2 linked regions of the Drosophila melanogaster genome follow. The protein of the gene in region 1 interacts with the protein of each later gene in a pairwise test. Each region holds a gene or a part of one and is shown on either strand. Other genes may lie near its edges.

Region 1 (13,959 bases):
AAGAGAGAAAGCGGAGAAAGTTCGCATGGCGGAGAGAGAAAGAGCTTTTGGATGTTCAGCAGCGTTGCCAGCTGCCAGCAGAAGGCCACCTTTACCGTGTCCATTTCCATTTCAACTTCCCTATCCATATCCATATCCATATCCATGTCAGTGGGCACAGCCATAGCCGAAGCCAAAGCCAAAGCCAAGCAATAGTTAAAGCCAAAGCAATAACCATAGCTGTAACCGTGGCCACATCCATGACAGCACTGCGAGAAACATGGACTAATAATATTTCGACTCTCTTAAAAAAAGGGCTCAAACAGACAACCTTTAAAATGAAATGATTTATAAAATAAAAAAATAAAAAATTTGCAAAAAATTGATATTGAAATAAGTAAAAATAAATAAATTAATTAACAATAACGATGTTAATGTAACCAAAGATTGGTTCATCTGTTATAGTATATCTTGAAAATAAAGCTAACTAGGTAAAATAATTACGTATTTAAAATAATTGCGCATTTAATATTCTATACTTTACAGTCCAATAATACCAATCGATTCTCTCGGTGTATGAATGCATGAGTGTTTCAGGAGGTGCTTACCATTTGGCCCTGTTGTCAGGATGTGGTTGGCAGTGGATGGGTATTGGCACAGGTAGTTGTTTTAATGACCGAACGGTTGAGTCAAGGCAGCGCGGTAACGAGAAAGAAATTGATTTCGTGTCAGAGGATTCGAGCGGTGCACAAATAGGCCACTCGGTGGTGGCCTCCATACTCACCAGGAGCAGGAGCAGCAGCAGCACCAGCAGAAGCAGCAAGGCTTCTGCGACTGCGGACGCTGAAACGTGGTCGCGTTCGACTCCTGCAGCACGTTGGACGTGGAGCCGAGGATTCCCACGCTGCCGCCCACGGTGGGCGATACTCCGCCCAGGCTGCCGCCACCTCCGACGACGCCCCCGCCGCCACCGTTCCCATTGCCATTCCCATTGTTGCCACTATTGTTGGCGGCACTTTGCTGTGAGGATGCAGTCATGCCGCGCAATCGACAGCCACTGGGCAGCTCGGAAACGGTGCAGGACATGCCGCTACCTGCAATAAAGGAACAAATTGAAACGTTAATGAACACTGTGCACGGGATGGAGTGGGGGGAAAGTGTGCTGACAGTTGGGCGAATCACAGTCACACTGCAAAAAATAGCTCTATTAGTCATCTAGAAAGAATTGTTAACCAAGGTGCCCGGAACTTAACTACTTAATTGTCTTGGCTGGTGAGTGTTTGTCTTTTTGGTTTGGATCCCATTAATTTGACAAGATGTCATTCAAAAGATACTGAAACTGATTCATTATATTATAAATATTATTATAAATATTATATTTATATTATAAACATTATATTCATAAATATGTTATTTGAATCTAGTCAAAACACCTTTTAAATAAAATTGTAATATTTGTTCTTTGCATTTATCACAAAGAAACTTTATATGAAATTAAAGATTAAATAGTAAAGAAAACTGTTGAATTATTAAAACATTGATTGTTTGTATATTTAATTTACCAAAACTATCAAAATATAATAAATACATATTCGGGAAAGTGTAATCTGGAGGAGTAGGTCCAACTGCTCCCGATTCGCCTCGTTTTCCGTGTGCACTTACCTGCCCTTTGAAAGTTGAGGTTGACGCTGGCGGAGCTGACGGAGATGGTGGAGGTGGAGATGGTGATGGGTGTTGGGTGGTGAGGTGGTGCTGCCCCAGCTGGCGGACCGCCCACTGCCACTGACCTACCCACTCACCCGCTCGCTTTGGTGCTCTTTTCTTTGCTTCGGCTTCTCTTTCTCGGCTTCCTTGGGGATGTGGGGTATGCAGGGAGACCGTTACGTATTTATGTTTTTGCTAATAATTTTTTATCGAAAGTTCCCACACACTCTCTCTCTCTCTCTCTCTCTCCCTGTGGCGCTCTGTCCTCTCTTTCTCGCTCTGCCCACAGCTGCTGCTCTTGATTTTAGTTTTCGTTTTGTTTTATGTTTTTTTTCCTTCTCCTTAGCTTTTCCTTGGGCGATTTTACAAGCCGAAAAATTCCAGAAATTCTTCAAGATTTTTTCGATAACCTTTTCGAGTAGTAGTTATCCTTATCGTAGGTTCCTGACTTCAAACCTTCGCGTGGGTTTGGTTTCCGTTTTTTTTTCTAGGGGGTCTAGCGTTTCTTTAGAGAGTTGACGGTGCGCGGGTGGCATTTACATATTCCGCTCCGGATTTACGGGCGAAAATCTAGCGATTCAATGGCCCCGTGCACCAAGGGGCACATTTCACAAGCGTTACGAAATTTATGAGCAGCTGGAGCTGCCACCGTAGTTGTTGTTCTGGCCTTTATTTATTTCTTGTGCTAGTCATTACACTGCCATTGTATATGTACATATATATGTAGGCGCCGTTGTGTGCGTGCGTCTGTGCGTGTGTGCGTGAGGAGGGGGTGGGCTGGAGTACCACCACATTGACACGCAACTTGGCTAAGTGGAGCGCATTGTTTGGCCCGTTGGGCGGATGGGGCGTATGCGTGATTTTCTCCACTTGTGCTGATGTTGCTGCAACAGCTGCAACATGTAGGCATCAGCAGCTAATTGCACTTGTTTGTAACTCGAAACGCCAGCGATTTTTGGTCGTTGCACTTATCACAAATCAGCTGCTTGGGTTCTTTTGTTGACCATTGCCTTTAGCCTGGCTATCTATGTATATTATATGTATATTTTGTTTTATTTTCTTGTTGTTGAACCAGCGCTTCCGTTCAGATTTTCACTCAAACACCACACACACGTTTATATTTTCTTTGAGGATTTTTGGGCGAATGGGTGGGCGGGAAAAGGGGGTCGCGTTTGTATGTATGTATGTTTTTGAGGAGCAGCGACGAGTACATACGAATTTTTGCCACTAGAATCGGAATCGAAATGTGTATATTTGTATATATTTTTCTTTTTCGCCCCGAAATTGTTTTGCTTGTGCTTCGATTTTTTTTTTGTGAATTTCTTTACGATTTTTTTCGTTGACTGTTGAGAATGTGTGTGTGTGTATGAATACGAATTGGGGGAAACTGCAATTTTCGTGGTCACTGGACTGCCTGGACTGGCATTTTCACATTTTCACATTTCGCCCTCGGCCATATTTTATTATATTCCTTCGTGCTCGGTGCCCCCGCAATGGCAGCCAATTCCCATTCGATTTCTGCGCTCTGCGATTTTGGCTGCTCAGCACCAGCAGCACCCAGAAGCTGAAGCCAAAATCCTCGACGGGTCGATTCGAGCGTTTCGAGATTCTCTCCGCTCGGGCAAAGGCAGGCGACTGATTTCCAAGCAGTGCCGTGTCGCCAGCTCTTGATTTTGATTTTCCAATGCGCGCGCTCCTCCCGAGGAACGCAAGATAACGGCGAGTGGAAAGTGGGCAGCCGGGGGAGGGCTCCATAGGTGGACTGAGCGAAAAGCTTTGTGGAATTGCTATACAGTTAGAATTCCTGGTACACACAGGAGAGGGACTGACAGGCGGAGAGCGCGAGAGAACGGACGGTAAGACATGTGCGCGAGTCGGAAAAAGAGAATAAAGCTCGGGACTCTTCGCCCCACTGGAATTTACCGCAAAGCTTTGGGGCCAGAACTTATAAACTTTCGGCAGGGTTGCACTTACATTTTGATTTTGGGATCCCGTTGATTTCGAAAACCGTTGTTTTTAAAATGTTCGAATGAAATGGTTATATGAAATACTTTACTTTTCATAAAAATTAATATATTTTTTATTTACTATTGAAATTTCACAAAACTTTCGGAAACTAAAAGAAACTTTCTTGGGGTTTGTACACCTAAATTACGTGTATAGTCGGATGGTACTGTCCGCGCCCGTGGAGAAGACCCATGGCTGCACCGGATGCCAGTTAACATCCAGCACACCAAACTCATCGCGTTTCTCGTGTGTTTGCAGCTTCTTGAGAGGCACAATCAAAGGGTTTTGCAGCAGGTCACTAAAAAAAAGTTTGGAGAAATTCGTAATTAACCTTGGGCAATGTTGATTTATAGCCACTTACTTATAGACCATGCCATGGGAGACGATCACAGCCTGGTCATCGCTGCCGGAAGCAAAGAGCGGATATCGAAGATGGAAAGCAACACTGCGAACTGCATTGCGATGGAGTCGCATGGTCTGGTAGGGCTTTGTGGACAGATCCAAATCGAACCAGAGCATCTTTTTGTCATAGGTGGACACCAGCAGATTGTCGCCCTTGGGATGAATAGACATGCCCGATATCCATTTGGAGTTGGTCAGCAGCTTCTTGACAAGCTCTTGTTTGACCAGATCATAAATGCGAATGTTGTGTTGCGTCTGTAAAGAAAAAACAGAATTCAATAAGACATACTAACAAAAGAAAATTAACCCACTTACCGCCACAAAGAAGCAGGGCTTCACCGGATGGAAGAGCACGAATTGGATGAGACCCTTGCTCTTGGAGAATGGAATCTGTGAGCGCCGCTTGGACAACTGATGAATTAAAGCCGAGCGGTTAGCACCTTCGGGCATCACTGTGGCCAAGTAGTCACCACGACCGTGCCAGGTCACCTGTCGGATGGGTTTGAAGTGGGTAATCACTACGCGGACGCCCTTCTCCTGCTCATCAGCTTCCGCATTTGACCATTGCACCGCCGTCTTGATGCGTTCACTTTCAATGACATCCTGACTGGGCGCCTCAGCCAAGAGATCGTCGGTCTTCTTCACCAGCACCTTATCGCCCACTTTAGGATTGACGAGCAGCAAGCGATTGCCAGTGGCCACCGCAATAATAGACAGCTTGGGATTTGGACACCAAGCCACACAGCGTACCACTTCGTCGGTCTCGATTGTGCGAATGCAACGACCTGTTGCAATTTCCCAAACTGTGAGGTGAGATGGATTAGTAAGAAGATATCTAAAAGGTTGTCAATTAAATTAGTACTTACTCTTGACGGTTTTATCATCCGAACCGGAGACGAGGTACTCTCCCTTGGGCTCCACACTAACAGACCGCACCAGATCGGTGTGGCCACGGTAAACCATACTCTCCACCGTGGGAAAGGGTTGCAGGTCACGCGGCGAGGGCAACTTGGGGATAAGGTACTCGGCATCGATGTTCAGCTTGACACGCTTTGCACGGGGACACAGGTAAAGATCCAGGCAACGAAGGAAACGCTCCCGAAGGTATCTCGAGTATGCGGGCACCTCCCTCAGCGACTTGAACTTCTGTGGCATGAAGTGCAGCTTGCGCTTGTGTGGCTCGTCCTTTAGTTTAAGCCACTCCTTGGTCTCCTTGGCATCGAAAAGATACTCTGGCGGTGGATTGTAGGACTCGGCATGACCGGGAAGGTCGCGTTTGGGCGCAGAGACTGGATCGTGGATGCGGCGCATGTGTTCCCGACTGGTGTCCGTTTCCCACAGCATGTAGAACTTGGGACCGCGCTTGGCCTGCTTCTCGCGTTCCACTTCCTCAGTGGTCTTCATCCAGCCCATTTTGAGGGCGTGCACCATGCGAGAGACGCGCTTTTTCTCGGAAACTGAGGGCAGGAAAGAGCGTTTGTGGTCGGGTACGTTCTTGATGGGCATCTTTTCCACCTCCGATGTGAACCATTCGATCCAGGGCTCATACTCTTCGTGATCCTTGTTGGGTATGCGACCCGAAACGATGCGCTTGATCAGAGCAATGTCCTCGTCTGTTAGGCGCACATCCTGACCGGTAAGTGGATCCTTGACGGTACGCCAAAAGTCTGGGTCCTCGATCTTACGCAGGAACTCATCAATTTGATCTCCTTGTGGTGGTTTAATAATCTTCTTGGCATCCCAGTCGTAACCGATGTGCTTGTATTCGTCGTACCAGTGCATGGGTATGTTGCCTACAGTATTTCTTATGTCCTCCTCGTCGGAGGTATCTGAATCCTGATACTCAGGCTTCGAGCTATCCCGTTTCGGGAGCTCTGCTGTAAGGGCTTTTTTAGACGCGGCACCGCTTCCACTGGGCTTATCGTCTGTTTGCTTTGACTTGGAATCCTTCTCCTCATCTTCCACTTCCTCTCCATCAGTGCTTTCCTCCTCTTCATTATCCTCTTCATCACTACTTTCTTCATCTTCCTCAGCTGATGAAGATTGCTTTCTGCCCAAGTAGTTGCCCTCCTCATCGCTCTCGAACTGCAGTTCCTCACTGGAATCCGAGTGGTATTCCTGGTCTATGCCCTCGTCATCTGTTGAATCTTCGCCGGGATCTTTTACAGCTTGCAGCAGGTCCTTAAAGAGCACAAACACACATGCAGGTCATTTTGAAATGACTTTTTATATCACTGTCAATGGGTCTTACCTCCTCCTCCTCCTCGTTTTCGGAAGCCTCGGAACTGGCCACCACTTCATTTGTGGGTTCCGAATCCTTTCCTCTGCGTTTCAGAGCTAGTTTTTTGGTCATTTTGAGGTAAAAACAAAACTAACGCGGCGCACGTGTTGCAGTCAGCGATAGCGATGGGAATCGCCTGAAACGGTTGCCTATCGATTGGCTTGCCGCCACTGCTGCTGGTAATCGGTTACAAATCCATTTGGAAACAGCAACCCTTTTATTTTCATTTGTTACCTCTCTTAAAATATACATCTATAATAAATACTTTCCAATAAAGATTTATTTAGTATTAAACATAATATTACAGCCGTTGCAAGTTGCAAAATCAAGACAAAGTTATACATGACCAATGTATATGTATACCAATTGCAGCGCCGTTGCGAGCAAGTCTGCAAAATACCCTAACGCTAATTGGAAGATTCTTCAACGAACCATTTTCAGCGAAATTCGCAGACTTACGTGCGGATTTTTTTGGGCCAGTGCGAAAACCAAAGGTGACACCCCGCAACTGGAGCACTAGGAGCTCACCAACAACGAAACACCGGCGGCTGAACGAGAGTATTACATATCCGGAAGACAAAACCATCGATTTGCAGCTCACACAAGGGCAAACAAAAGTGCACACGCACACATTGGCAAGGTGGCCCCCTCCTCTTTCCGTTCCACACACACCTACGCACACACCAGCATAAGAGAACCCACACATAGACATCACGATGACTGCGCCGCGACGCCTGCGAAAAGAATTGAGCGATTTGCAGGGCAACGCACTGAAGTCCTTCCGGGACATTAAGGCGGACGATGACAACCTGCTGCGCTGGACGGGATTGATTGTCCCGGACAATCCGCCGTACAACAAGGGCGCCTTCCGCATCGAGATCAACTTTCCGGCGGAGTATCCTTTCAAGCCGCCCAAGATTAACTTTAAGACACGCATCTACCATCCAAACATCGATGAGAAGGGCCAGGTGTGCTTGCCCATTATCAGTACGGAGAACTGGAAACCGGCCACACGCACCGACCAGGTCGTGCAGGCACTGGTGGACTTAATCAACGACCCTGAGCCGGAGCATCCGCTGCGGGCGGAGTTGGCCGAGGAGTTTCTTAAGGATCGCAAAAAATTCGTGAAAAACGCCGAGGACTACACCAAGAAGCACAGCGAAAAACGTCCGGCCGACTAGCGGATAGGCGGAGGTAGAGCTGGAGGAGGTGGGCCAGTCCACAACCCATGTGTACCCTTACCCCTTAGTCTTGTGATTTTTCTGTTAGTTATTTAATTTTCATTCTTGATCCATGAAAAACTATCCTCAGAAAACATTTAAGCAGATATTTCCCCGGCAGAGTACCTAGTTTTGTAAAAGTAGCACTGTAATTTGATGCAAGTGAGAAATACATGTTCGTTATGTTAAAATACAGCTGCCGACTCTTGGATGGAACCGACATCTGAGTTGGATGTCGGAGCTACGGGCATGGGAAATGATTCCTCGCCCAACATGCTACGGAAGCAGGTCATTACAATGCTGTTGTTGTGCTGAATGAGGGCCTTGCTGAACTGGTTCTTCTGCAGCTCCTTAATGTCCAGCAGGCTGTGAATGGCCCCCGCCTGCTCGTCCTTAAGAAGTTCCAGCACCTGTTCCAAGGCACTGTTAGCCGTATCTTTTAGCTTACTCAACGTGAGAGTTTGCGCTTGATTGCTATTAAAACAACAATCCTGATAAACGCTCTCTATGAGAAATAAGAGCAGCGACGCCGCGTAATGGGTGAGAAACAGGAACTTGTGGAAGACAATGCTGTCGGGCTTCAATTTCTTTACTTCTTCCAGGAGATCAATGAAAAAGCGCTGCTGGGCGGTGTGGAATGCCTCGTCTTCTGTTGGTGGCAGGTAGCATAGTGTCTTGCTTTCCAACTGGCACTTTGGCGCAGACTGCCAGACAGGGTCGAGTTCAAATGTGTCCAGGATGCGAAGGCGCAGAATGAGTATTGGTTCCGAGGCAAACATGCTGCTTTGCAGGCTCTGAACAGGTGCTCCTCGTGAAATGTGAAGATTCAAGGGTGCCGTTCTGTTCTTAACGTATGAATACGGTGTTCTATTGTTAAGACACTTCTCCAGTTGATTAAATTCCCGACGCAAGCAGTAAATCTGCTTGAGAAGGTCACCGTGTTTCAAGGACTCCCTTTCTGTGTAGGAACCGCCATAGACAGGCACTTGGAATCCCAGAGCCTTACTGGTGGCCTCCTTGTCCACGATGCACAGGCTATCTTCTAATGGCTTCACTTTGTATAGACTGTAGTAGGTGTTCGCGACAAGACTGCGCAGGTGATGAAGATGTCTCAGATAATGACGATCATTGGACTCGTAGGCATAGATACTGCCCTCGATGGCATCCGTTTGAAGCTTCATGTACATACGGCAGGCGATCTCGTGCTGCATGAGAAAGTCGTGGGGAATCTGGAACTTGGCAAACAGTGGCATTACCAATGTGTCATTCGGCTGAGCAAGCTTGCTCTTTATCTCCTCTAGCAAACGAGGCAAGTCGGGATGGTCCTTGTTGTAGTTCAGGCAGATAACATACACTTCCGAATTTCCCCGCTTGGAAGTAGCCGGCTTAAAGATGTGTACCTCCTCAAAGATGCAATTGAGTGTATAAAGTAGAGATACACTGCAAGCCTCGAAGAGGGTAAACATCTTCACTAGGAAGTTACCGCCACTTGAGAGAATTCTTAAGGCACTGAGTACTTCAGCAAAGAAAAGGCGAACCACTATCTCTTCCTGGCAATCAGGCTGTGCGGCACAATCGATGGAACCATCGGCAGTGACAAGATCCACCTGTCCCTGGAACTCCACCTCACAACGTTCCACCAGGTGGTCAATGTTGGCCACATCTAGTAGATTTCCAGTTAGATCTTTGTGAAAGAACCAGTTGTCCAGCGTGTGGACGATGAACCTGTCATCGCTGATCATCTGGTTTATAGCATTGCCTTCATAGTACGGATTCAAAGTAGTTGAGCGCCAGCGCCATTTAATCTGGAAAAAAGAGTTCCGTTCTCGTATCTCTCAAGGATGACTTGATAACTCACCTCATCCTTTTCATATTTGCTATGAAGGTAATGATTCAGAGATGCTATGAAGGCACCGGGTGCCTCGCAGAGATGCATACTGTTGACAGCCGGCTTCGTGACCAATGGATAACGATGCAGGCACTCGAACAACTTGCACCATGCCACAGTTACAAATTCGGCCTTCGTGTCGTTTTTCAGGCGCCAGGACACCTCGCCAGAAGGGTCACGCCTGTTGGTGTGAGCACTCCATTCCTGCACGCCATAGTCATTGAGTTTGCTTTTAACCGCATTCAGCTGCTCGCGCAGTCCCTGCAGCGCCTCGAACTGGTAGAACTCACTGAAGAGAGCCTGATCCGGTGGCGGCAACTGCCAGGATTTGTTTCCTTTCGGCTTCTGATAGTGGAACTTCTTCTCGAAGAGCTGCTCCACTTCGGAAGGCCGGATGGACTGATAGTCCGTCTGTAAAGTGTGAAATGTAATGACTGACTTGTAGGATGTAGCATCCTTTACTCACCATTGGGTGTGGCTTTCCCTGCGGAGACGAACGAAAGCTCATTCCGGCTAAATTTAAATGCGAGGCGTCAAAAACAAAGCGATCTGCGACACAATAGAGATGGAAAAAGCTCAAAGCGATCCATCGCCTAAATCTTAGCGACGGTAACTAAAAATCGCAAACGTTATCGATTAAGCTATCAAATTTAAATTGATTTTCCGGGCTGCAATGAATAATTATTTTATATCTCTAATGCAATATTATAGCTAATTCGTAGATGCAGAAGATTTGGCTAGACGTTTCCATAGCTTGTATCTGAAGATGAATGGAATAAGAACAAAAGCCATCAAGAATTCCATCTTGTTTAAAAGTTAAAGGTTGAAAAATAACTTCAGCCAATATGTTAAATGCAATTGTTTTTTTTTTTTGCCGCATATTTCTTTTAAAAATGTTTCTTAATTCTAGGTATTTTTCGACTAATTCCCTTTATCAAAAGAACAAAATCGCTATCTCCTGTAGAAATGTAACTTCCTTTCCACCTTCGACGGCGATGATCGTCAAAGGCATTTCCCGTAGATGCCCGATGGTGGAAACGTGGAAACTGATTTCTTTGATTCTATGGAACTATCCATTTAGAAAGCGCACGGCAGGCGACAAATAAGGTGCCTGCAAAGTGTGCGGTTACGAAACTATTGGTCATCATCCGTTAGTGATTCGATTGTGCATACTAATATTTCATTAAAATCTTATTTTATTGATGCGGATAGCCCAAGTACGGAAGTTGGAGAAATTGTCGGAAAGTTACATATACATACATATAAACTTACACTCCCAATCGGAATGTGGTTATGTCTTGGGGTCTCGGAATTTCAGCATCGACCATCGTGGCCAATGGGTTTACTTAATACGCGCATGCCTTGCCGACTTTATGGCCATTTGAAACGTGAGTCGTGTTTTTATGAATAATAATAACGATATTCAAATTATGAGTTTCCAATGCTGACAAAAGAAAAAGGATCGCATTGGCTACCGCAGGGGCATCACTCTTCCCTTGGAACTCGACATCGGTCTTGAGTAACGTTCTCCGCCTTTATATACATATATATATATATATATATATATATGCACATAGCTCCCTCTCATATACAAATAGCAGTCGTAGCATATGTGTACGTACATATAGGTGTAAGTACCCAGGCCGGTATATTTGTGCCCAGTTTGTATATAGAAGAGTCCGGCACGTGACTGTTTTGTATAATCGCGCATAAATATCTGTAATGTAATGCCTATAGATAATGGTTCACAGCGACGGAGCAACAAAGTTCTGTAGTTACTTCGGCTTAATCGTCCCGGCAAGATCTATGTATGTATCTTCGTACTCCTTGGACATCTTCAATAGCTTCGAGCGGAAGTAGCAATCGCTGCGCATGCGCCGTGTTTGGCGTTGAATGGTGGCCATGGCCAATGCATTTTTGGGGCCCCCCGATGGCGAACCGACAAATTCCAATTCCGAAACGACAACGACTGGTACGTGGACACGGCTATTGTTGGCCACAAAATTTTATTTCATTTCATATTTTTCTCAAAAGGGAGTTCATTAATATTCCGGGCAGACGGCGTTGCGCTAAAAAGCGGCTTAGCCTGGCCGGGCACAGCTCCATGTATCTACGTCTCCGGCCCTCCACCCTTTTTTATTCCCCCATTGGCTGGGCTGGCTACCTGTCGCCATGCACAGGTAAGCCTGTACTGGTACAGGTATCACCCCCACACTGCGACGGTGTGCGTGAGCTGGCAACGGACCGCAATCCCCGTTCATTCTCCATGTGTGAGTGTCAAATGCCAACTAATTGAAACTTCTTCAATTGCCGAGGTGTGGTGCTGAGCTCGCCGCTCGGCTTCGGAATCAGTTGCCAATTAGTCTCCACCGCTGACGGATTACACTTGCCATCGTCTGGGAGTCCAGCGCTCCAAGCCCGTCATCTATTCCAACAGCAGCATATACAGTATAATTCGCTTAGCTGCATCGATAGTTAGCTGCATCGGCAAGATATCTGCATTATTTTTCCATTTTTTTGTGTGAATAGAAAATAGAAAATAGAAAAAAAAAAATTAAGTTAGCTGCATTTTTAAGTTACCTGCATCGAGGCATTGTGCAAAGTACTCGAGGCAGCTAAGCGAATTATTCTGTATACACATATGTACGATGTAGGCACACAAAACTTGTTAAGTGCTTTTCAAAACAACAAGCCTTTCATTGATAAAAGCCATTGGATAACAAGCGAGTAATAGACGAGCATTTGTGACCAGTGAGAATGTTTCGGTGAATTGTGAACCAAAACGGTTGGGGTTTCGTCCATGTCGGATCGATCGTATATCAACTCCGTTGGTAAATTGGCAAGATGTCGGCATAGCTGACGTTGAAAAGCGATTTTGAAGAGCGCTATGCTGCATCTAGTCAGTTGTTCAATGGAACAGTCAGCGAGATCGAACAGAACAGTAGTGGAGTTTTAAGCTCCATCGTAATCTCTTTTTTTTGCAGATATATAATCATAAAATATCTGAAGGGATATTAAAACATTTATCGATTGGAATATTCGCAAAATGTGGAACAGTTTTTGCATTTTAAAAAACCGTTTTTCGAATGTTATAAGCAAAAGCAGTAAATTTACGAAGTATTTTTATTTAATAAATATCTTTTAATACAGTATAATTCGCTTAGCTGCCTCGAGTACTTTGCACAATGCCTCGATGCAGGTAACTTAAAAATGCAGCTAACTTAATTTTTTTTTTTTAAGGAAAAATAAAGAATTTATTTCTTTATAACAATGTTAAACATAAAAGGAACTGATAATTTCATTCTTAATGATAAGTAAGATCGACATATAAATTTAAGTGATGGTGAATTGATTAAAACACTTTTTAAAACTAACTTAAAAATAGTCAGTAATTTTTTTTTGCAATACAGCTGAGTTTATATGTAAATTAAACAGCTTGTCTTCCATAGAATTCAAGTTTTGCAAAAACTCATCATTATTGTTTCGCATAAAAATGGACTTTAAAGCCTTAATTGCTGCAAACCCATCCTTAAAAGTAGGACGCTCAGTATCGTCCACATCTTCATCACTATGGCTTTCTTCGTTATCGCTGGTTTTTGCATCTTGAACTAAAGAGCGCACGATTTCATCATCATCTAATTGACCATGGCAAGCCTCATCTGCATCAACATTGGCATATTCATTCCAATTAATATTCGATACAATGTCAACTTCTACGCATTGTTTGTCTTTTTCAGCAATGGTGTCTCCTTTTCTTTGACGCTTTCTTTTTAAACCTGACGCGGCCACAGCTTCATGAATTTCATTTGTTTTTTGTAAAATGCGGTTGACTGTGGATCTGTCGCATTTGAATTTGGCACAAATTTCCTTTTTGTCCACTTTGTTGGTCACTAACTCGATTATTTGAAGCTTTTCCTTTAGTGTTAGTCCAACGACACGCTTTGTTTTACCCATTTTAATAACTTTGTGTCATAAGAAACAAAAACACAAAAATCACGATCAAAGCAAAAACAAAAACGGACATGCGCAGATACTGAAACGAGTTGGCATTCTTGCCATCTTTTAGATATGCAAAAATGATTCATAGATGGCGCAGCTAACTTTGATGATATTCATTGAAATTGGCAAAAAAAAACAGCTGATATGATGCACTTAAGTTAAAAAGGCTGTTATCTGCGATGCAGCAAACGTATGAATTTTCGTACAAATTTTCTATTCACACAAAAAAATGGAAAAATAATGCAGATATCTTGCCGATGCAGCTAACTATCGATGCAGCTAAGCGAATTATACTGTAGTAATCATTTTAGTTTTTTGCAGATGTGATTCTAAATTTGAAATAGTTATCTCCATATAATATTTATGAGATATAAAAAGAATAAATATTATGTGCTGCGAAGTAGAGGCGTACGCAATCTTGTTTTTCAGACATGATCTGGAATAAAGGAGGGAAAACTCTTCTAAAAATTTTGGAATAT
Region 2 (18,615 bases), on another chromosome or scaffold:
TTTTTTGGGATTCATTCCTCTTCTGTTTGTTGTCGTTTCGCTTTAGCACCAAACCCCCCACACCCACAGCGGGGGCAGCGCTGAAAAGTAGGCAGCCTTTTGCGAGTGGGACACACACTAATGCGCCCCTAATAATACCACACACACATGTAAGTCTTCGGCCAACACACGTACAGGCAAGGTACTTAAACAAGCTAAAGCAAGAGGGATGTTCTGACCACCTGCGACTATAAAAGGTGAACGCCGCACCGAACAATGTCTCAGTTAAATAGCGTTAATTAAGCGACAACCAGCGGCCAGCCAAAGGATCCTGCTCGTCAGCGAAACTATCTACAATATATATTTTTTTAAAGTGCTATTCCCGCAGGATAATAGTATCACTCCATAAACACAATTGCGTTTTTTTTTTTTTATATTTTGTTTTGCCGTGATTTAGTGACGAGGATATCAAATCGCACACCAAAAATGGAAAGTGCATTTTCCAATTGAAAATCGATAGCCCATCGAGAGACCCATAAAATTTATATACAATATATATACACACATTGCTATATATTATTCAAAAACGCGGCAGGAGTGGCCGCGTTTTAGCCTGGAATTTCGACCATATGTCGTGGGCACATCATCATCACATATTCAGCAATCGGTTCGGCAATGTCCGTTGAACTGTACGGGTAATATCCCGTCCATCGCCGCCAATGATGATTAGTGTGCCAGGCGACCGACCAGCAATGGTAGTGATTCACCGACCACGTCCGGAACCGAAAGGTGCTTATTGCAGCTGCTGGCCACTGCACAAGATTAGACTTAAGACTCTTGTGCGTGTGACAGCGGCTATTGTAAGAGGCCATAGAAGCAACAGCCAGCCATTGTTCCATCATCGTGGTGCCCAGATTGCCGCAGAGAAGCCGTAGAGATTGCCGCCTAATGCAATTATTACCAACGTTTGATGGAATCAAATAATATCGAAGGATTTGTTCAGCATTTCAAACGCAAAGTGGCCAAAATTATCCTTCAACTTCAAGCGAATCTAAAATCTGTAAAGTAAAAGGACTTAAGGCATGGTCTGGATATACGGTAATTTATTAACTTGAATTTAAAATGTATAAAAAATAAAACTTTAGGTCTGCTAATGGGCTTATAATAAAGACTAAAAACATAAGGATGGCATACAAAATATACCAAAAATTACATGCATAACAAATTTGAACATTTTTCTATCAATCACGTGACCGAAGAGTTCAGTTCTCAAGAAAGTGAAATTTAATCTATTCTTAGTAATTAATACGGAGACATTTATGTGAAATTGCTTATCAGTATTAAGATTAATTATGTCCTAGTTTCTGTGACTTACATTTCGCAATGAAATTCATAAAGTTTCCAATATTATAAAGCAAAAGGTAAATAGATCATAATCCCGAAACAGCTGGAAATCTGAAACTTTTATCTAGATCGACATTGTTTTTTTTTAAGCAGAAAAACAAAGAAATCTAAAAGCCATATAATAACTACATTAGAAACATTTTCGTGCGGAACAAAAGTTGCTAGCAATCGCGCCTCTGCTGTACATGTGGATTGGATTATTTGTGAGCGAGAAGGAAGTTACACCTGAGGATCTAGGCAGTCATTTCTTTTTTTATATTATATATCATCTATATTTTACAGGTGTACTGGTGAAGAAGGATCATGGATATGACATTGTGAACAGAAAATCAACTGTGTAACTGTGCGTTCTGTAACAATAAATAATTGTAAACACCTACGTAATAAATTTTCACATATATTCAGCTGCTTGGTGTTAGAATGGTTTTTTTTACCACTGATCTGAACTACATGAGACCCATTTCCATAACACTGTGCGTGAGTTAAAAATAAACCTATCTAGAAGTACATATGTACATATGTATGTATGTACATCGCCGATTTTGTTGTTTTTGTTTTGTTTGTCGATTTTGTTCAAGTGTATATATATGGGGTTTTGTATTTGTATGTTATTATAACTGCCGCTAGGTGGAGCTCGTGTGAAGTCTTGGTAACAACCGCATTAGCTGAGTAACGGGTATCTAATAGTCGACACTCTCCACGTAGCAGATTATTTAGCGACGAGTGAAGTTTCAAATAAAATCAAATAATATATATGTATGTATATCTACTATTACAAAGGAGGTGAAACAGAATTATTATTCAATAGTTTTACATTTTATACGCATTCAATTTCACTTAATTTATGATATAGATAAGGGTGTACCTTAATCGCGTTCAATGAAATTCTCAATGGGCTCGCATATTTCTGGGATTCTGGCCCCTGGCTGAACCTTAGATGAATCGGGATTCCATGTGCAGTAGATACCAGCTCCGCAGACGCATCGGTGGCCAAAGATACAGGTGGAATTGCAGCTAGCACAATGACCGGGGCACCTATCGGAGCATTCGTCACTAGATCTGAAACTTAAGGATGTGGGAGTTCGCTCGGGGGTGCATGGAGTGAGGGCGATGACTGCCTTTATTCCGGTGACTACTGGGCCATAACCAGGAGGATACTTATTCGCCCACAAAATACTTGCTATCTGGGGCAATCCAAACGCACATGCGCAAATGACCAAAAAGGTTACACAACCGATAACTGCGAATAAATAAATAAATATTCGTACTATGTTTTGACCAAAAATGTCTCACTCTTCATTGCTACATGTATTGTAGTGCTGCTGTGCCGACTTCAACTGATCTCGAAAAGAAGATTGTGAACCATTCTTATACGTTTGTTTTTTCGCCCCAGAAAAAGTAAAAAAAAAAAAACAAATATGTATAAAAGTGTATGAATTCCTGGAAAGTGACCCGCGCGATATGGCCCAGTGAAAAGTATTGCACGAAAGTATTGGGTATACTATAAATATGTACATATGTGTATATACTGCTGCTACAGTAATCAAAACAGTTGTATAGATTTTTTTAAATTTTTATTTTCACTAATTTTTGCAACATTTCTTCTTAATTATACATACATAGTTTCTCATAATTTTTACAGCTTTTTTTTATATATCTTTTTGTATTCCACATTATGGTAATTTTTTCCTTTTCTTTCAATTCGAACAACTTTTAACTTTTTACATCAATTTAATGTCAATGAGTTTTCCATTTGGATTCAGTTTGTTTATAAATATAATTGTTTCTTCATTTATTGGTATTTAGAATATAAAGAGAATGCTTAAAACGGAAACAAGATTAAGGGCCGACGCCTTCGTAGCGGGGGCGTGGCATGTCCAGTTATGTTGCCGCACGTTATGTACATACATACGTGCGTCATTTTGTGTGTGTGTGTGTGTGTGTGTGTTTGTGGGCGGGCTAGGAAACCATGGACAAAACTGTACTCTTATATACAACGATTCGAGGAGGAGGACTCTGCAAGGGTCCAAGGACACCGCCTCCCTCCCCATCAACTATACATTCCTCGTCTACTCGTATATAACTCAGTGTGTGTGTTTCCGGCATCGGCATGTTCTTCGATTTGTGCTGGGAGCACTGATCTCCATTAAGGATTTGCAACATTCGAGAGGCCATTACATATGAACTAAGAATGGGGGCGTAGCTCTGCTCCCGCCACGAAAACAAGGCTTATCCGATCGAATTGCAAACATTTTCATTCCGTATATGCTAGGCACAATTGTTTATTGAACAGAAAACCAACGGAAAAAAAAGAAGAAATCATTTTCCTTTTTTGTTTTTTTTTTTTTGTAAATAAAGGCTTAACAAACTGGAAGAAATTCGAAATCGAAAATCATACTGGGTCTGAGATTGAAACTAAAGAACAATAACGCTAACCTCAAGCCTAAACGGGTTAAAAAAAAGGGACGTAGAAGGTCGAAGCAAAGACACTAGAATAACAAGATGCGCAACGGCCTTACATTGGTTTGGCACTAGCAATATGATGAAAAAATATCAAATTGGAATACAAAAAAAAAAAAAAAACAAAAACTGAAAAACAACTGAATCTAATGTGCATTTTAAATAATTGAAATGGTACATTTACATACATCATATTAAGTCAAATGACTTAATAAATATACTCAATACAAAGCAAATTATATTAACTACCGTAATTTAAAACATAAATTTTACAAAAATTTAATTTTTCACACGCCGCAAGCTGAATACTCTAATGACAAATATTCTAATAAAGTAATTTTTGAAATTTATTTTGTGATAATATGTACATAGATTTGGCTATTTCTAATCTATTTTCAAATAATAATAACGTTAAGGCAATGCAAAACAAGAATTTTTAGCATGGTGCCAATTGATCAAAAATAATAAAGATTTAAAGTCTAAGAAGGGGGTCAAATTTACAATGCATAAGCATACGTGTGCACACATACAATTGTCTGCTATCACTGTATACGTAGAAAAGAGCTATTTGCTGTAGCGCTCTCCACTCTCTCGCTCTCTCTCAAAAATTCGAGAGAGCCTGGAGCCACCTTCTAGATCCATTGCCAAAAAAATGTGTGCTAAAAAATCGCGTTGCGTTACGCATCTTGTTATTCTATTGTCTTTGGTCGAAGGAAGTTGGGCAGGTGGAAAGGAAGCTGGGCGAGTGTTTCTGCTTACATGTGTAGTTTGTTTATTTCACATAAGTTTAGGTTCTATTGTTGGCTTCTCATCATGCGTGTAGCTTTGAATTCACTAATTTTTGCATTTTGTTTCGTTTTTCATTAGGTTTTTATAACATGAAGATTTCTTTGCAATCGGTTAACATCAAATAAGTTTTTAACTGTTGATTATTTACTATATATCTATTCTGCTTCTGAGCCTTGTGACTGGTTCTGTGTGTGTGTGTGTGTGTGTGTGGGAGTGTGTGAGTATGTGTTTGGTAGTGTCTATTTGATCCTGTCCTTCTTCGTGTCCTGCTGCTGCTCTTGCTTAGTACGAAGAAAAATATATATAATTCAATATATATATTTATATATATTACGATTTTATGGTGATTTCCTTCTGGCTTCTGTGTTCTGAAATGGCTTCAATTTTGCTTTGCAACTCTTGTATGGGGATTTATCCTGCGTTTCTGGGAATTTCGAGTCTCCTTTCTCTTGCGTTTCTGTGTAGCTTCTGCATTATCCTTAACTTCTGTTCAACTCCTTCGGCTTCGATTTCTGCGTGAGTGCGTGCGTGCGTGAGTGTGTGTGTGTGTGTGTGTGTGTGTGTTGCGTGGCTTGGCGGATGTTGGTCGGTATGTGGATGGGGACAGTGTTTGCTGCATTTCGGATGCTGGATGGGGTGGCGCTTAGCGGGCACTACATTCCGATTGCCTGCCGCTCGGCTTAGCTTAGTTATCCAGCCATGACTCGCGTCATTCTGTGTACTCCCACCACTCCTTGTCGTACCCCTCGTGCACGTGCTTCAGCAGAACAGAGCACCGCTTTTCACAATACCTAATCGAATGGAGAGACCAATCAATGTTTGGATAATGAGTCGTTTGTATGTTGGGGACACGGACATGGCTCGCTCGCTCACCTGTATTTATCTTGCACTTTCTGCTTAATATCAGCCAAATTCTCGGATGTAATATCACGTTCCAAATACTCCGACAACATCTCGGTTGCCGACTCCAAGTCCTTTTGATTATCCTCGAATATCATGGATTGATTGTTCTTTTTCAAGTAATATGCAAACACGTACGTGTACATGAGAGTCTGACGGCACTGGCAAAGTATGTCGACAGCCTTTTTCAGAAACTGCACCTGCAATTGCAATGAGTGTGCTGAATTCGCATTGTTATGGTCACGAGTTTTCACCACTTACCTCAATCCATGACATGTTGTGCTGTTGCATCTCCTCCATCTTTTGCTTCACAGATGCATACAATTTGTTCTCAAACTTCATCGACTGCATGTGGTTCATGTAGCGATTGTAGTAGTGGAGATATCTGTAGATTTGGCAGAAGATAATATATCAGTTGAGTTTTATTCCATAATGACTTTCACATTTCTGCCTAGATACTTTCGTGTTTCCTTGATTAGTTTTAGCATTTCTAATTCTACAGGTTTAATCAGCGATAAAATTTAATTACGAATTATAGCTGATTCATTCCTTTCTACGGCTTTCAATCGTTATCTTTTCTTAAAAGAAATTAGCAGATAAAATAAACCGCTAACCGTCATTATCAGCGAACTGCGAAAATAATACACAACAAGTATCACTTAAAAAAAAAAAAAAACAAAAGGGGTTCCTATCCTGTGACATCGTTCACAGTCGAATGACCCACCTGGCCAGCGAGGAGCGCAGCTTCTCCTGAGCATCGCGGGCCGTCTTGGCCTCGTCCTCGTCATAGCGATTGCAGTTGTACCAGGAGGAGCCGTGCGGCTCCCAAGAACCGAGGCACACCCAGCAGAACTCGTTTTTGCAGTTCTGGTTCTTGCACACCATGTGGTTGCAGCCGCCGTCCTTCTCGATGGTCACGCTGCACCTGGGACACTCTTTGGTATTGGCCGCGATCCAGTTGGACGTCTCCGAGTCGTCGTCACACTTCTTGATCCACTTCTTTAGCCAACGGCACTTGACCGGATCGTGCCAGTTCTCGCCGCAGGCAAAGCAGAAGACATGGCCGCATTTGCAATGGACGCGACGTGGCTCCGCGTACGGCACCTTCACCGCATAGGTGCAGTCGACGGACGGACACCAGCGCAGCAGCTGGTTGCACTCCACAAAGCTATTGGTGATCAGCTGCTGGTACTTGACCCGCACCCGTGCGTCCGTCACTAGGTTGGCGACGGTCACGTCGTCCACCAGGATATCACAGCCGTGCGCCGCGCACGAAATGGTCTGGCCCAGACCCTCCGCCACGATCTTCGTTGACAGATACTCGTGCCAACAGGGCATGCAGAATCGGTGTCCGCATTCCAGCCCGGCCATGGACTAAATGGAACGAAGAGAAAGTAGCTATTAGTATACATTGTAGATATTCTTGAAGTTGTTGCTTGTGGAGCAAAAGAGTATACAATATTATAAATATATTATAATCGTATTCTATAATATATACTTAAAGATCACGCGAACTATGAGAGCTTAATGATGAAGCATACAGCAAATTAAAACCACCTACATAGCGTATGGTAATTTTAAACTTTTCATAGGTGTTTTACGCTCTGAGTATTTGTTAGTTAGCTTGTCTATAATATATTTAAGTTTACTTTGCTGTTATAACCCAAAGTTGCCCATTGCAATCTACTCTTTTAAAACGTGATACTAAATTTTACTTTTTAAACTACATTATTAAATGTTTGATTCCACAAGACAGTTGGATTCCAGCGAATTACTGCTGAACTGCTTACATAACCAAATTCAGGCTAACAATCAACAATTGTAAATCAAGCAAGTAAATTAGTGATAACGTAAGCCAATAAAAATAATTGATAAAATACAAATCAAGTCTTTTTAGAATATTTTAGATTTGTATAGCAAAGCAACGCCCTAACATTATTATCAGGTCATCAGATAAGGCACCATTGACCAGTTAAAAAATCATGTTTCCCCCCAAAATATTCGTGGTTAATCAGCGGGAAAATATATTCTACACCGCAATTAGGTCACGGAGTTACTCATCCCTTCTCCATGACAACTTACATCTGGCGGGAGCTGTGAAAAGCATATTTCGCACTCTTCGCACTGACTGCGTGAGGTCTGAAAATGAAGGGAAACGCATTAGATGAGACATCAAATGGAGCCTTAGCACTGGGCTCACCTTTTGTTTGATCGCTTCGGTGGCGTTGAAAGGATTTATGACATGTGCGCATTTGAAGAACTCATCAGTGTTGTCGTCGAAGTACTTCTCCAATAGCTTCTCCTTGTCCCACTTGAAGTGATTTAGCAGTATCCGTGTGGTGGGTGTGGGTAGCTGTGGCCATAGACAACAAAACAAATCGAATGTCAGTGGATGATGGCACATATGTACATATATGGGGTAAAAGAGCGGGGGCTGCATCCCAGTTGGCATCGAAATCAATGCCAAATCATTTGCGATCAGCAGCAGTATGATCAGCAGTACCTATGTATAATCGTGGATGGGGTTGTGATGTGGAACCACTATAACTACCACTGGCAATTGGTCTATCTAAACAGTATAATTTTTAGGATATATAACATTTCTTGGCATTCCTAATAACTAATCGATTTGTTTGGAAATCGAGAAAAAGTACGTATGTATGTACAATTCAATTTTAGAGGGAAGAGTTACTCAAAGGTGCTTTGTTTAACTAACAATTAGATAGCTACATACATGATCTGTATCAATACTGAAAGTTAACACTCAAGCTAAGTGAATTTCGCTTATTATTGCAATGAAAGATTTTCTGATGTTTAAATGTCAATGAAACAAAAAAGTATTACATGGATTCTACATTGATCCTAATGTATTCATTTGAAATGGAATCTATAATACCATTTTAAGGGAATCCCCCGAAATCTGGGAAAGTGAAAACTGTGCTAGTGAACTTCGGGCAAGTCAGCTGCTGATGCGGATATGGGATGCGGATCTGGCGACCTTGGGTGCGCCTGGGTGCTTGTGTTCCGATTTCACTGGCACTGGCAGTCATCAGCGGACGACCTTCAGCTTATCCCAGATCCCAGGCAGGGCGGTGGGCGGCAAGAGCGAGGGGTGGGGAAAGCGATTCACGGATACACATGCCCAAATGCACTGTGCTGCACACAGTGATGCCTCCGAGCGGCGAACAGATCAGATATTCTTGGCAGCTATACGCCACTAAACTATGTCAAGCCATTTGGCTTTCACTGCAAATCGCAGCGCTAACGAAAGTCGAAACAAACATGTTCCTGCTAGGAAGGCCTGACTGTAGAGCAATCAAAGGTGACTGCTTGCCTATCTTTGTTGTCTGGACTGGGTGAAGAATGTACCTCTATGGCTGCCCTAGGACTGATAGTTAAGTTGCGGATGGATAGTTATACTAGCGGGTGTTCACTGTACTTGCGCTTGGCCATACCTTCAGCAGCAGATTGGCTTCGTCGATGATCTCGCGCTGGTGTTGCACAATCTCATCGGTGGTGAGCACCTTGTACTGGTAGTCATCTTGGTCCATCTGGCGGTCCGCGGAGCTTGGCAGGTCCACCTCCATGCCAAAGTCATCATCGCCGTCGTCGCCCGAGGAGACGTTGCCCGAATCGACATTATCGCAGAAATCATTGTCATTGTCCGAGTCCATTTTTCGGTTTCTGTTTTGCGTTACTGCTTCTGCTTCAGCTGCTGGTGCTCCTTCTGCTCTCTTCCTCTTCCTGTTCCTCTTGCGCCTCCCGCACCACTTCCGTTCCTCTTTGTTTTCAGCTTTCGAGGCTTTGTTTTCCAGCGTTTACTTCCAGTATTTTACTTTTGCATTTGCATTTGCGTTTGTTTCTGTCTTTTCGTTTTCCTTTGCCTCGTTTTCCACTTGCTTTTGTTTACGTTTTTGCGCAGCCCTTTTCGCCAGTTGTTATTATTGCTGCCCTCGCAGTGGCGTGGCCAGTTGTGTTTGGTCGCTGCACTTGGTGCACAGCTTCTATTCCCTTTTTCACACTAACTTATTTTGTGCGCTGCTAATTTGTAGGCTGCGTGCTGGCTATTTTTATTTGTAAATGAAAAATGAATATGTGAGATTTTCTAATGACAATACGAGACCCTGCACGGTCGCAGCGCAGTCATACTGGTTCGGTATTTTTAAGAAGAACGGTCACACTGGCCCGTGCGCTTAACAGGGCCGAACTGCTGATTTAACAGCGAACAACACTATGTTAAATGTGTGCATGTGTGTGTAAAATCATGTAAAATCGACCGAACGTCGATGGGACAAACAAAAAAAAACAACGAAATTATGTACACAAATGCATTTTTCTTTAGGGCAGATTATTTTGTTTTCAAGGTAATGGCACACACCAGCACACTGCGCACACACATGCGCACATTACGTGTGTATTGCCACACACACGTACACAAAGGCACAGTCGAAAAGCTTATGACTTTTTGTTGTTTTTCTATGCACTTTTCCAAAGAAAAAACACTAGCTTATTGCACTAATCGTGCTCGCCTTCGTCGCGAAGTTCGGTTGCAATGCACAAATTAAATGGAATTTTCACGAAAAACTAACCGTAAAGCCAACAAAATGATTTGCATCGGTGTTGGTTCTCACTTGCTCTCTTTGCTTTTCTCAAAAAATAACACACACACACACGCGCTCGCACAGTGGAGTCAAGTGTGCGTGAAAGTGTGTGCGCATGTTTGCGCTTTTTTCCCATTTACTTTCGTTCCGATTGCCGCCTGTTTCATACCGTTCCGTTAAATCGTATGTTTAACAACATCTGCTTATCGATGGGTGCCAAAAAAGCAATAGTGACTTATCGACGGCTGGGAAACAGTAGATTCAAAAACAAGTGAGCTTCCAATGAACGTTTTCTTGATTCTCAGTGTATTCATCAAAAGAGATTATCTTAAAAATGAGACATGCGCTTAATTTACAGAAACAGTTTTTGAGAAAATCCCTTTACAGAACAAGACTTGAAGGGATCCATTCAAAGGCACGAACCACAGTGTCAAATTCCAATCCGAGACATAAACCTGTTTGAAATAAATATTGTTATTTAAACATTATTAATTATTCTTGGAATTAAAGGGTATACTAGATTCGTTGAAAAGCGCTTCCGACTTCATAAAGTACACATATTCTTGATCAGGATAACTAGGCGTCTTGATCTATTATTGAGATCTTTTATTCGACTGTCAAGATATTATACTCAAACGTTTTCTCATGTTTTTAACTGCAACCTCCGGTTGTTTGCGGTTAGAGTTTAATCTTTAAAGTGGCGAACAATATAAAATTGCTAAAACTTCGCACGAGCTAAAAATATATTTGAATAAAATTATTTTAAACTTTACTGTCCCAATTTTCATTGTTTCACAAGTACCGTTAATCAAATTCAATGGTAAATTGCCACTCTGTTGTAACATCGATGTATCGATGCCATATCGATACCTTATCGATACTGTATCGGTTGATACAGAGTTGCACTGGCAATGGGCGCCTTATTCGATTTCACTTAAAGTTTTTTATTGTATATTGTGTTTTTATTGCAACACCTGACAACTGTTGTTGTGTATAAGGTATGTATATAAAGAGCCAGCTGGCTTAATCAGAATGCGGTCATAATGCAAATTCGTTGGATGGCAGTTCGATTTCTTCTTCTTCTAATGGTGGCAGCCATACGGGCCGACCTGGGCGGATCCGGAAGTTGTGGGCCCTACGAGTGCCGTCTGAGCAACCCGATCTGCCGATGCGAGTCCTTCTGCCAGGAGTTCAGTCAGCGGTGCTGGAAAAACCCATCGGGATGCCATTGTGCGAGAGGATATGCCCGTAACGAACGAGGACACTGTGTGCCTCTTATTTTGTGCCCCTGATATAGGATTCACCATCAAAACAAATATCTAAACGAATATCACCTTAAAATTCATATGTAAACTAAAAACCGATTGCATGGAAATAATCAGCATGCAAAATAAATACAGCAGACACATTTTTAATGAGAAAAAAATGGTTATAAAATTGATTGGGCGTTTGCCTCATTACACAGAAGTAAATATTTTAATGTTTTCAATAATTTTCTATTGGTTTAATATTAGGCATTTGTAGAAATTATAAAACCAATAAATAAAAACTACAAAATTACATGACGGCAGTTACTAAATAGCATTTTTAACATGAACCAAAATGTATACCATTTTTGCATATAATGAAAATGACAATTTGATTGTAATTCAATCAATTGAGTTAAATTTACCGAATGCACTGAGCGCATGAATGGCTGCATTGTTTTTTTTTTTCGCCACAAAAAAGCAGCTGAAAAATGCACCGCTCCATTGGGAGTATTTAAGTCATTTTCATTTATGAATAGTAATACCAGGCAGTTGCCACTAAAACCCGGCCATCGCATATAATTGTGATTAAATTACTTTGTATGTATATTTATACATTAATACATATGCATACATATGTATGTATCCATGTTGGCCATTACCTATGCAAGCATATATATATATACATACATTGTTCCAATTTGCATTTCAGGAATTAATTACAATTTGCATTAGGCACGCCATAATTGCTGGCAAGTTTTATTACACGAAACGCCAGTCTGTGCTGCCCGATTCAATTATAGTAGAATCCTTCTGGGAATTTATTAAATTGTCAGTTTTTTGTATAAAACCAAAGGTTTAAATATGATTAAAAGCCACCAAAAGGCTTTTTGCGCTTGATTTTTAAATGTATTAAAAAAATATAGAAGTAGCGATAAAGCGCTTATTTCATTACATCCCTTTTGAAATAATTAAATTACGAAGTTAGTTCTTTAACGAAAAAGGGCAATCAACCGCCATGTAGTGATTTTTTCGCTCGAACTTGCTTTCTTTATCTTCGCTGATGCTGCGGCTGCGTTTTATAGTTGTCTGCTGTGCTCGTAAAGCATGCTCGCGAGCAAAAGCACAAACAACGTGTAAAAAACGAAACTGTTTCCAAAAAGCGGCAGGAATCGTTGCTGTTGTTTGCCAACGACAAAGGTCGCGCATCTGTTTATGCCGATTACACGTGGATCAATGTGGGTGAATTGTACGAGTATTCGCATGAACAGAGAGATACCCTGGACAGACGAACTTGCTTCAAAAAAGTTGAAAAAATTCCATTTTTTCAAGTATCTAAAAAATAAACTGCTCAAGTATTTAAGGACACATATGGATAGCAGATATACCACATTAATCTTAACTCTTGTCGTATTTGTTCTGCCAAAGGTACCAAGTAACCCTAAGTCGCAACGATCGGCTTGAGGCTCACTTCTTGTTTTCAATTTGCAAATGCCAGCAAAACGAGGAGAGAAGACAAAGACAATAAATTATGAGCGGGAGATAAAACAAAAAGCGCAAATTGAACTGGGCGTAAATTAAAAACAGGACAACAAAAAAGTGGCAACAAAAGCGGAGCGAAGCAAAGGCGAAGAATGATGACCACAAGACCGCGGCCACCTGACGCAATTGTCGCTGTTTGCGTGGGTGTGCGTGTCCTGCTTTTGTGTGTGTGTGTTTGCGGGTATCCTGTGGGTGTGTGTGTGTGTGTGTGGGCGATGCGGCTTTGTAAACTTGCGCCTCTCGGACGCAAAACAAGCGTGGAACAGGATAATGGCGAAGCGTGGCAAGAAGACGGAAATGGAGACCGAGCCTGCGTGCTGAAATCAAAGATAACGACTCATCAACGGCGTCATAAAAACGTGACATCAATTTTATTGCCGCCGGGCGTACGGAGCGTATACGTCATCGTTCACGCGTCGCCACAAAAACAAAAAACAAAAAAAAAGGTCAAGCTAAAGGCAAAAAGCACATGACAAATAGGAGATCGTCTGGAAAAGTGCGATTTTCACTCGCTTTTCATTGGCGGAAAAGTCGCAAGTGAATCTGGAATAATGTCTTCTCAAGCATTTGTTTACAACAAACATCTAACTTAACAAAATATTTATATAATTAATAGCAGATTGCCAGTTTTTACTTATGCCTAAACCAAATAGACTAAATGCCTTCCATTTCTTTTACAATTTTAAAGATAAAGCAATCAGCAAAGAAAATAGCTTAATGTAAATATGTACAAAAGTTCAACATAAATGTACATACATACATATGTACATATGTACATATTTATGGCTTTGGGGAATTATTTGCTAGTGTAAGCTATTAAAGTGAACTGTTTGTATGATATTTCTTTCTTTTTGTTTGCTCACAGCACAGCAATAAATTCCCATGACTTTCGTTTGCTCTATAATTTCTCCTTCCATTCGCTGTTTTTTTTTGTATTTCTGCGGTCATTGGCAGGCTGGAAACTGTACACTCGAAGAAAAACTTCGCACATGGTTTCCCCATACTTGCGGATAAATATAAAGAAAATCAGCATGACAGTGGTTGGATTTTAACTGTAATACGGTAAACTGCAAAACTTAAATAAAAGCCAAAATGGTTTTTAGAATATGCTACCTACAGAGATATTTATATTTATATTTATTTATTTGTTTGTACTTCATTGTACTTTTTTCTTTCGGTGTAGAATTCGTCATCTGTTTGTTGCTGCTGTTGTTGTTGTTGTTGACCTACCGTACCGGCAGCGACAAATATTTTCACAATAAAATTCCTATTGATGTTTATTCATGCCCATTCTGCCCCAATCTTATTTTGCAGCGATTTTTTGGGGGGGTGTGGGGGGTTGGGGTTCTTCGGCAGTCGTGGAGGCGCCACCAACACGACAAAGTTGTCGCTGGCGAATCTGGAATTATTATTGAATGAACTTGCACCATATCCGCCGTCCATTTCGCCATAATCAATTATTGAAGCGCCGCCAATAAAGCAGCCAAGATGAGGTGGGGATATCCAAAAACTTCGGACTCGCCGCTGCCCATTTGTTCGATTAATTATTGACGGCTCCCCAGGCGCGTATTAAAATTCATTTGATGTCTTTCTTGTCGCCTGGCTGACACAGCACCACCCCCCTACTCCTCCCTCATCTGTTTTATCGGGCATTTGGATCAAGCTCGTCGAATTAACAAATCAAATATGCACCTTAAATAGCGAGCCTACAAATTGTTGTTAAAGCCAAAAAAAAAAAAGATGAACAATTGCTTGAAAATAGTGAATAAATTCCTTGGTTTTGTTTTGGTTTTTGCGCGGAATACAGGTTGTTAATTTTAATGCGGACTGCGAATCCTCTTCGAATCAGGCAAACATCGTCATCGAAATCGTGCGTGTGCTCCTGTTATCGGAGTTCATCCCACATTCCCGCCGGCGCCCACGCAGTTGATTAATCGTCGGTCGAATCACGTACAGCGACAAATGTCGCAGGTGAAAATGCCAAAGTGCCCGCGGAATGGGAATGCGAAGTGGAATGGAGTGGGTTTGGATTTGGATTTGGATTTGGATGTGGATGTGGATGTGGATGTGGATGTGGATGTGGATGGGGATGTGGGTGTTCGGGAGTCCTACGCAACGATAAGCCCCGCTTCGGACCCACTCCCAACTGCGAGCTGGCATCTTGGCCATTTTCCCGCCGAGCATGGACAACCTTATCGATTTTGGTTATCGTCTATCGAAGTACTAAAACGGGTTTAAACTTTCCCAAAAATGTTAATTAGCATGGTATACAAGTTTGATGATGGTTTTGTTTTGGTATGAGGTAAATATTTTTCAGTTATACGGATTTAATTTCTATCGTTTTTGGTTTTCGTCGATCGGACTTTTGAAAAATTCAGATCGGAAAGCTTAACTTTTTCAAAGTTTTTGGTGATTTTCTTGTACAATTACGAAGGTAAGAATGGCTATATTTTGTATGAGCTTTATGAATTTACAATTTAGATATTCGGCTTGAATTGTATTACAATATTGATTTGCAATATCGAGTGTATATAATGATAATAATAGTAAGAGTATGCGTTTATTAATTTGTTAATGCAACTCTTTACAACTCTTCAGAAAGAGTTTATGTTGAACTTAGAAATGATATGCGACCAATTCGATGGATACCATGAAGTAAGCTTGGAATATGAAAATGATATTTTCGTGGATCCCAATGCTCCATTGAGGGTCCTGTCAGCACTCGTTGGCTTTGATGCCATGTCGCCTCACCATGTCTCACCCTCCCGTGAGTCCTTCGCATTAACATAAATAAATCACTTGCCGCCATCAATCAGTCTGTTTGCATTTGCGCAGGCAGCCGCAAAACACCTCGTCCCCAAAAGCTCCCAACCCAAACAGCCATTTCTCTTTGTTGTCGACGCCGCTTTTTGCTTTATGCTTACGCGCATTTTTCTTTGATTTATTGATGTCTCGACTATTAAGCAATTAACTTGAGGCTGTCGTCTTGCTCTAACCTCTGACCTCCGCCGCCACCGGCACCACTGAGTCTTACCCACGCACTGTCGTTGGGAAACTGTTGACCCGTCGACTTCATCCTGCTGCTTTTTTCGCTACGGCACACAAAAGGTATGGTATGGAACCCAAATTGAAACGAAAAGACGCCTAAAGTCACTTAGGTCCTCAATAAAAAAAAACATGCGACGAGTTTAAATCTGACTCAATCAATGCCGAAATGCCATTTTGTATGGCATACTTTTAGACACCTTTCGAAATTATTTCACTTGGCATGTTTCATAAGAACAGACAGATAAAACAATGTATTCGATATTAAAGCACATCAAATGTATTAACGATTTCAGCACATTATTTTTGAATATAAAATGATTCGGTACCCCTGAATTTTACCTTTTCGTCCTGAAATCAATTGATTTCTCCGATTTGCCTTGCGGTCGAAAGGGATTTGTGGAACGCCCACCGATTTTATTAATTCCTGTGCTCTCTCTCTGTGTGTGTAAATAAGTAATTATGGAATACAAATGATGCCAGCGGCATGGCCACGCCCCACCGCCCATTTGGGTGGCAAATGAATTTGTTGTGTGCGAATTGTTTGGACATTTGTCCACATGCGCGGGCAGATTTATGAGACAGCCGTCTTCCATTTACACAGCATACTTTTAGGGACTACCCCACACACACACACACACACACAGAGAGAAACATACACACACAGAGACACAATCGCGCACACGTGTGCATATAGAAAGCCAGCGAAATGAGCTCAATAATTAGCACAGGGAAAGGGAGAGACCCAAATCTTGCACACAAAACGACCAAAAATGCGTAATGAAATAAATAACAATAAAGGAAAAACAGCAGGACGGTGGGTCAAAGCGCAAAACCGACAGCACACGTGTGACCCGGGTCAACTTTGGCAAAAACTTTTCGTTTCTAGCTCGCTATTTTTGATAATTTTTAATACAAAACTCGCAGGGGCAGAACCATGCATAAATGTACGTTGGCATATACAATATACATATGTATGCACATACATACAAACATATATATATATATATTCATAAAGTTACCACACATAGCGCAGAAAAAGGAAAAACGAGTGAAAGGAACGCAAACCGAAACCAAGGAAAAATTTATCTGCGAGTCCTGCAGCAGCGGCATATGTCTTTGAGAATATAAAACAGCAAAAGAGCCAACAAAAAAAATCGGGCAGAAGGGCAGCGAAATGGGGAAAAAAGTTGCAAGTCAGAGCTCACAAAGTGTACGAGATACAGTGCTGGGCAGCAGTATCTGCTTAGTGGTAGATAGTATCTACTAGATACTTTATCCGCAAAGGTGTCTAAAAGTATGCAGTGAAAGATATTACTTCGTTTTTGTGGCCTACGAAGTGCAGCATCAAATTGTAGCATGCTTTTGATGTATTTTTAAATGTTTTTTATCCATTTTATTATTTTTTACACGAGTTTCGGTAAGTTTTTCCCCATTTTTAAGTCTTTCAAAGACTTTTGTAATTTTCATTTTTCTCGAAAAATGTTTACCTTTCCAGCACCCTTTTCTTTTTAAGAGTCTGCTAAGCAACTAATTCTTGTACTTAATTTTATGGGATATTTTCTATAGAAACCAGATCATTTCTATTTGACCGTGACAAGTTGCGTAAACTAAGTAAATAACGTTTTTAAATTGCTCTTTTTGCAGTTACAAAAAAAAAAAAAAAACGCGAATGTAACCAAGTAATAAAAAAAGCTCTTAGAGCAATAAAGAAAATGATCAAAGTACTTTGACTCGCCATTAAAAGGGAAGAGCTGCGCAGCAGTGTTTATTGTATGGTCAATTATTGCCAGAAGACGTACTTGTTTATGCTCAGTTTTTGGCTGCCCATGGAGCGATGACTTTGACCACAGACTGTGCGACTGGCATTTTAGTTCGCCTGAACTCGGCTGATATTTTCCCGACAAGAGTTTCCAAAATAGACAAAGGCACACGCCCCCGTCCGTCGTTTAAAGGCGAATTTGGCCCTCAAACAATCAACATCAACATGAAATGTTTACTGCAGGCGAAACAAAGCCGAAATATTGCCTTAAAGCTGACAACCATTCCCCCCACCTTCCCCGACAAACACACAAAGAGAAGTCACTCGGCCAAAACGTGTAAAAAAAAAAAATACAAAAATAATAATACAAAAAACATAAAAAAGAATAAGGCACAAGAAAGCAAACTATTTTCAAACTCTCACACAAGTTGGTCAGCCAACAATAACAAGGCGGGAAAAGCGGAAAAGCGGGAAAGCGGGAAAAGCGGGCGGTCGTTGGCAATGAGGCTGCCAAAAAGTGTTCGCAAAGTGCGAGCCAGGCAAAAGTCAAGGACATCCAAGGAAACCGAATCGAAACCAATGCGAACCCAACCAAACCAAACCAAACAGTACTGAACCGAACCGAACTAGACCCAAGAAAACCCCCCCCCCCCCAAAAAACAAAAAAAAACAATCAATAAGTGCTGGGGACTATGGCCAAAAAAAAAAAAATAGAACCGAAAGGAAATAGAGCAGCAAAAGTGCAAGCCGCGGCACGGACAAAAACGCGACTACGGACACCCAAAAACATACGGACATGCGGACAAACGGACGCAAGCCACGTAAGTGGAAATTCGAAGCCCCAAAAAATGCGTATTCGACAGCTGAAAAATCCACCAAGTATACA

The links.
Region 2: the proteins of Ubc10 (region 1) and ari-1 interact in a two-hybrid assay, tested with the Drosophila melanogaster proteins (one study listed by BioGRID).

Annotation. Positions count from the first base shown.
Region 1 is NT_033778.4:17,782,233-17,796,191, reverse strand, and holds Ubc10 (ubiquitin conjugating enzyme 10), read left to right. Parts: upstream 1-6,781; 5' UTR 6,782-7,089; coding exon 7,090-7,554; 3' UTR 7,555-7,778; downstream 7,779-13,959. Other genes in the region: Dhit (double hit), read right to left, coding at 588-596, 764-1,065; CG5033 (uncharacterized protein), read right to left, coding at 3,835-3,988, 4,052-4,347, 4,408-4,895, 4,959-6,273, 6,344-6,445; aft (adrift), read right to left, coding at 7,779-9,398, 9,452-9,892, 9,948-9,989.
Region 2 is NC_004354.4:18,127,455-18,146,069, forward strand, and holds ari-1 (ariadne 1), read right to left. Parts: upstream 10,232-18,615; 5' UTR 10,122-10,231; exon of another isoform or gene 9,911-10,121; intron 9,686-9,910; exon of another isoform or gene 9,597-9,685; 5' UTR 9,207-9,596; coding exon 8,988-9,206; intron 7,886-8,987; coding exon 7,733-7,885; intron 7,672-7,732; coding exon 7,615-7,671; intron 6,907-7,614; coding exon 6,257-6,906; intron 5,918-6,256; coding exon 5,794-5,917; intron 5,733-5,793; coding exon 5,506-5,732; intron 5,424-5,505; coding exon 5,342-5,423; 3' UTR 2,938-5,341; downstream 1-2,937. Other genes in the region: CG43133 (uncharacterized protein), read right to left, coding at 2,250-2,623, 2,677-2,683; CG43229 (uncharacterized protein), read left to right, coding at 11,177-11,425. UniProt on the Drosophila melanogaster protein: Atypical E3 ubiquitin-protein ligase, which catalyzes ubiquitination of target proteins together with ubiquitin-conjugating enzyme E2 Ubc10.